Tribolium castaneum: one gene and its partner. Each later gene encodes a partner of the first gene's protein in a complex. Links are inferred from orthologs where the notes say so. Each region holds a gene or a part of one and is shown on either strand. Other genes may lie near its edges.

The links. The genes of interacting proteins can lie anywhere in the genome.
Region 2: the proteins of sw (region 1) and robl are in contact, whole or in part, in a crystal structure (PDB 3L9K), measured with the Drosophila melanogaster proteins. The link is inferred for Tribolium castaneum from reciprocal best matches to the Drosophila melanogaster genes sw and robl. Residues at the interface, in NP_477075.2 of Drosophila melanogaster: Leu242, Lys247, Ile250, Ile251, Leu252, Asn255, Phe256, Gln257, Phe259, Val260, Val261, Arg262, Ala263, Gly264, Val266, Ile267, Glu268, Ala270, Leu271, Ser272, Glu273, Asn274, Val275, Asp276, Ile277; in NP_523771.1 of Drosophila melanogaster: Glu4, Val5, Glu6, Thr8, Leu9, Arg11, Ile12, His15, Lys16, Val18, Val23, Ile29, Pro30, Val31, Phe69, Arg71, Arg73, Glu78, Met80, Ala82, Asp84, Asp86, Phe87, Ile88, Leu89, Val91, Gln93, Asn94, Pro95, Thr96.

Annotation. Positions count from the first base shown.
Region 1 is NC_087400.1:4,950,524-4,954,286, reverse strand, and holds the start of sw (cytoplasmic dynein 1 intermediate chain), read left to right. Parts: upstream 1-1,343; 5' UTR 1,344-1,710; intron 1,711-1,876; 5' UTR 1,877-1,886; coding exon 1,887-2,182; intron 2,183-3,763. UniProt on the Drosophila melanogaster protein: Acts as one of several non-catalytic accessory components of the cytoplasmic dynein 1 complex that are thought to be involved in linking dynein to cargos and to adapter proteins that regulate dynein function.
Region 2 is NC_087396.1:13,483,697-13,485,980, reverse strand, and holds robl (dynein light chain roadblock-type 2), read left to right. Parts: upstream 1-1,093; 5' UTR 1,094-1,238; coding exon 1,239-1,241; intron 1,242-1,293; coding exon 1,294-1,372; intron 1,373-1,422; coding exon 1,423-1,634; 3' UTR 1,635-1,742; downstream 1,743-2,284. Other genes in the region: Ski6 (exosome complex component RRP41), read right to left, coding at 62-643, 692-865; ND-B12 (NADH dehydrogenase [ubiquinone] 1 beta subcomplex subunit 3), read left to right, coding at 2,001-2,284.

The DNA of each region.
Region 1 (3,763 bases):
AGTACTTTGCAGTTAATTCATAAGTTAATTAGGGTATTTACAAGGTATATTGATGCTTCCAGGAATTGTTCCAGTTTGCGCTAATTCCGACGGGTTCCTCACATCAATTAGAAGAACCTGTCTGTTGTCTTTTAGGCTTCTAACGTAGTCAAAAGTTACTTCGTCTGACATTCTGTGGCTTATATTTAACGTTTGTGAGAATTGGGATAGAGGGCGCTCGAGTGACTGGCAATTTTTTATCGGATTGAAATGAATTCTATGCACAAGTGAATGAGCCCTTATGTGCTGTTTCAATCCAATAAAAAAGCCCAGTTGCTACAAAACGTCGTGATTGTTCAAATATGTGAGAAATTTGAAGCTGAGAATATTGATTTGAAGTCAATTTTACTTTTTACGGTTGGTAGAAGCTGTCGTTATTTTATAATTTAAATCAATGACTCACCACATTATAAATAATTCAATCGTATTGTAATAGTATTGATTGTATGGAAATAAATAAGATTAATTAATTTTTAAGAGATGATTACGGAGAACCATAAGTTAGGAGATGAAACGAGATACAAAATCGCAGGATTTCTTGAACCGAAAAATGTAAAAGTAAAAATGTTTTTTTTATTTTGCTTTTTAATAATGATTTTGAGTTAAAAATTAATTTTTAGTCACGACTTTAATGAAGGAAGAAGCCATGTAATTTTTTCAAACGTTAAGGTACATCTTTTTGTTAGACACACTTTTTTTATTAAAAATTTGCTGATTATATTATATTATATATATTATATATATTATATTCAAAGTGATGCTCGAAAAATCATCTATTTAGGTCAAAAATGACGTTATTTTTGCATTTTTTCGAATATCTAAATACATTTTTTACTTAAAAAACTCATTTTTTTGTGCCAAAATTTAGTTAAAAAAAGTTATTTTTGTTTTTATTGTTCAAGGTTTGGCCACGTTATTCAGCAATGTTTTCTGACAAAAATACTCAAATTTTTTTTTTTTTATTTTGTTCAAACTGGTAGTTTGATGGAAGAAAAACTACGTTACTTTTGCATTTTTTGAGCGGTTAAGTACAGTTCTGATTTAAAAGACTCTGTTTTTGCAAAATTTTGTTAAAACTATCTCAAAAATTTATAAGTGGACAGTGACTGTGTCAGTGAATGAGCACTGCCAACCAGTACACTTAAAAAAACTAGCTTTGACACCAGCCTAATAATTTATCACTTGCTTCTGATAAAAAAACTGAAATGATTTTAAATAAGGTAACTGGGGGCGCCCAAAGTGGCCCTCCAATGGAATGAATTTCCATAGGCGTGCGTGCTAGCCCCGTTAAATTGACGTTCCCTCTCCAGTTGTCGTACCAACCTAGCGACCAAAAAGTGTGACAAAATGTCATCAAATTGAGGAAAATCGCGGTTTTTTCGTTAAAAATCCGCCGAACCGGTTTCTGTAATCGATCAATCACGTTATTCCCTCCCAGGAATTGTGATTCCCCCGTAAAATCAGCGAACTCCAGTCAATATATCCCGAAATCTCGCGGAGAAATCCCTGATGACTCGCCACATTACGTCATCACAAAAATGAAATGGTGGTTGTATCGGTCGGGCGTTGTAAATTAAATCCAAAGGAAACGTAAAAAGTCGTTCGAAAAACTCATTAATTCCACGTAAATTAAGTGCAATTTGTCGTCTCGTGTAATTTGTACATTCATAGGTAAGTGTTGTTGGCACTTGCCACAAAAGGGGCTGTCCAAGTACGGCGAATCCGTTTATCCACTCCCATCGCCAAGAACGCGACCTAAACCTTCTTGACCTTTCATCTCGGGGGTTTTTCGATCGCGAGCCGGCGATTTGGCGCTGTGACAGTCCGTTTTTTCCAGGATTTAAGCCATGTCGGACCGCAAAGCCGAACTGGAGAGGAAGAAGGCCCGGCTCCAGGCGCTGAGGGAGGAGAAGGACCGCCGGCGCCGGGAGAAGGAACTCAAGGATGTGGAGGAGGCGGCCAACAGGGTGATTTTGGGGACGGAAGGAGACAGGAAGGAGTTGGATGAAATGCTCAGCTCGTTGGGGGTTGCCCCCGTTTCGGATATTTTGTCGAGTATTTCGAGCGCGAACTCGCTCACGCCCGACCACAGCCACAATCACACCCCGGACACGTCCCTCCTGCCCCACAGTTCACCCAACAAGTAGGTTTTACAAAAAAAAAAAAAAAAAACTTTCGAACGAAAGATACCAGAAAAAAGATAAACAAAGCAGGACCGTATAATATTTTTTTTTATTTATTAGTATTTAATCTGAGACGTGGTAAAGAACTTTCATGCGCTCAATAAATTAACTTTCTGATTAAGGTGGCCTGTGACTTTTAAATTAAGTTGGCAACTCTAAATAAAAAATTCTTGACCGAAACAATTGTTTATGATATAAGTATATGACACAAAAATATTGTAAATGCTGATTTGTTTCAGATAAGTCAATGTCTTTACCTTAAATTTGATTTCATTTCACCCAACTATTTTCATAAAAATAAAAAAATCATAAAAATTGCAGCACCAGGAAGGAATTAGAATTAGCGAGTAATAAATTTGAACGATTTTAATCAAGTGGTAAGGGAGTTTTTAATATTGAAGTTCTTTTACCAGCAAGTGTTATTCTTAGAATTTTATGCTTTTCTGACGATTTTTTTTGTGTTTTTTTTTAAATTCGTTTAGGTTTAAGTGTTCTAAAAGCGCAAGTAGGCCTGGAGACGACAAAACCAAAATTACTAACAATTTAAGCAGTTTTGAAGGAGGCATGATTTTTGGACTTCAAATAGGGGTTTTTCAATTAGAGAAATTGCTAGTCTTTTGGATAGAAATCGAAGTATCATTAAGCAGTGTTATCAGTCATAGACTGTAGAAAGCCCAGGACAGCGCAAAAGAGAAAGCAACCTTAAAAAAAACAAATGAAGTCCAAAATGGTCATGGCTATAATTTAATTACAAGACAAAATTTTGCCCAATGGGTGGGTTTAAAGGTCGTTTTTTATCACTTTGGACTGTTTACCATCGAAATGGGTCATTTGGACTGTTTCCTGTTGGATTTACTTGGTATGGGAGGAATGGGCAAAAACCTATATCTAAGCCTGACTCATGAAACTTTTATTTCGAAACACAACGCGTTTTGACCATAATGCGGTCAATGCATATAGTGTATATTTTCACCTGAGGATGACCACTTTGTGGTTGAAACACGTTGTCTTTCCAAAAAAAAGTTTTGGTGTGTCTGGTTTAAGCTGATTTTGCTCATTCCTCCCATACTTAGAAAATCCAACAAAAAGTAGTCCAAATGACCTAATTCGATGGTAAACACTCAGAAGTGAAGTACAACGACCTTCAAACTCAACCATTGGTCAGAAATTTTTCTTGTACTTGAATTATTGCCATAATCCGAAGATGACCACTTTGGACTTCATTTGTTTTTTTAAGTCTGTTTTCTCTTTTGCTTTGTCCTGAACCTTCTCTAATCAATGACTGATAACATCGCATAATGATTCTTGGATTACTCTTCAAACAAATAGCGATTTCTCTAAATAAAAAAACACCTATTCGTTTCCCAAAAATTGTGCTTTTTAAAGTTTGTCTATTTGTTGTTAATTTTTTTTTGACGAATTCTAGGCATATTTTCGTTTTCATAACACTTAAAACTAAACGAATTTAAAAAAAATCACTACAAAAATGGTCAGAAAAGCAAAAAATTGAAAGAACAACACTTGCTGGTAAAAGAGTTTAA
Region 2 (2,284 bases), on another chromosome or scaffold:
GGTTCTTTTATAATGTAATATAATCAATAATTGTCAGAAATATATTCTATACATGCTCTCCTCACGTTGTGCTTGCCCAACCTGTCGAACTACCAACATCCTGAATGTGACTCTTGACTGCCTCATCCAAAATACTTTTAATGTCTTTACACCCTTGTAAAGCCTTGTCTAAAACCTTCTGTAAGTGGTCCACATGAAACCTCTGTGACATTTCCATCAAGACAATCTTCCCCGACATTGGTAACGCTGCCACTGTCAACGTGGGCCCCCCTATTATCTCTTCCTGGTGCGAAACATCAAGTAGCGGCACATCATTATTTGCCAAACTTGCAGTACACGCACAGACATATTCCTTTAACGGAATCCCCGCATCAATCAGTGCCAAAGTGGCGGCGTTCACACAAGCCGGATAAATGCCCCCATCTGCATGCAGCACCTCAACATAAACATCAATCTGGGTCCAGGGATACAACTCGACTTTGATCGCCGCAGTTAAAGCCTGCCTCAAGTGAATGGAGATTTCAGTCGACTTGCGGTCCCCCCGGGGCCGCTTCTTCCTCTCCCCTGTTGAAAACACAGCCATGCTAAACTGGCAGTTGACCACAGCCGAGTCATGTTGCGCTTTGCTGCGACTGCCGCGGACCTAAAGTTCAGCATGAAATTTTATCATAATTAAAGACGCAAAACCAACCTGGTGGGGCCCATACACAGCCGCCAGAACTTTAGTCAAGCCCTGCTCCAAATAGGCGCTACCGTCGGGTTCAGTGAACACGCCCAGCTTGCAGCGGATCCTCCGTAACTCGTCGGCGCGTCTTCCGTCCTGTCTTAAGCCGATTTTTGATAATAATTCGCGATTTTTGCTCATTCTGATGTTTAAAAGTGAGGTTAAAAAATTATTTAAATGTAACGTTGGCGATCCTGACCTCGGAAAAGGCGAGATTATGGGCAGTTGAGAATGTCGGCTTTCGAGAATTTTTTAAGAATAACTCCTGCCGATAACTAAATTTCTTTCGAAATTGTTAAAAAATGATTCCATATTTGTGTTGTTTGATTGAAGGAGTCAAACTACCAAGGTTGGCAATTTTAAGGATATTTACCTGTGCATCAAAAAATTAAATTTAATAATGGAATGTTGGCGACAGTGGTCACGTGGGGCTGTTGTCATGTTAACAGTTATTTGATAGCTGTCACTTTTGTGCAAAAAATTCCAATAAATAATTTAGCCAAATAAATACAAAATGGTAAGTACAATGCAAATTGTAGAAGAATACGGGTTTAGAGTTATGTTTGCAGTCGAACGAAGTGGAGGAAACGATGAAACGGATCCAATCCCACAAGGGCGTAATCGGTACAATAGTGGTCAATTCCGAAGGTGATAAGCTCATAGTTTGGCTGTGAGGGCCTTAGAAACTTGAATTTTAGGGATTCCGATTAAAACCACCTTGGATAATACTACAACAGTCCAATACGCTGGACTTATAAGTTCGTTGGCTGATAAAGCAAGGAGTGTGGTTAGAGATTTAGACCCTTCAAACGATTTAACGTTTTTACGGATAAGGTCAAAGAAACACGAAATTATGGTGGCTCCTGATAAAGAATTTATATTGATTGTCGTTCAAAGTCCCACAGATTAGTGTTATTGCCTGTTTTGTGTCATTATGCACTGCTAATTTATTGTACGTTTCGTGCTTTTTGTCGTTTAAATTTTTATATGCTTATTCACAAATAAACTCTAACTCAAATGTTTGAAATTTATTTAATCTTGCGCCCCAGAATGATTCACAAATTTAGAAACTTTCTTGTTCCGCTATTGGCGACATTGCGCGATTTACTAGTGACATTTTTATTATCGTAGCAATTTTTTTATAAACACTAGTGGTTATTCTTTACGAAACCTACATTAATTATCAGTCCCTTCCAATTACATAATATTTCCACAAGAGGTTGTTTCAGGATTTTGAAAAAATTGTTGCATAATAAAGTGAGGTTATATTGTAGAGATGGGGGGACACGGCCATGGGCACGGACACGAACCTTACACAATCCCTGATTACAAAATCTACAAAGTTGAGGATATTCCCGAATTAATGAACACCAAAAGGGCGTTAGCTTGTCAAGGTCTGAAGGACCCTTGGCTTCGCAACGAAGTCTGGCGCTACAACCCTAAGGAATTTGGCACGGAAAAATCTAGATTTCGACTTTTCTTCTATAGAGGGTTCAGAACCGGCTTTGCCGCCTTCCTTATAACCATTGCTGGTACTGCCATTTACGACAAAATGTACCC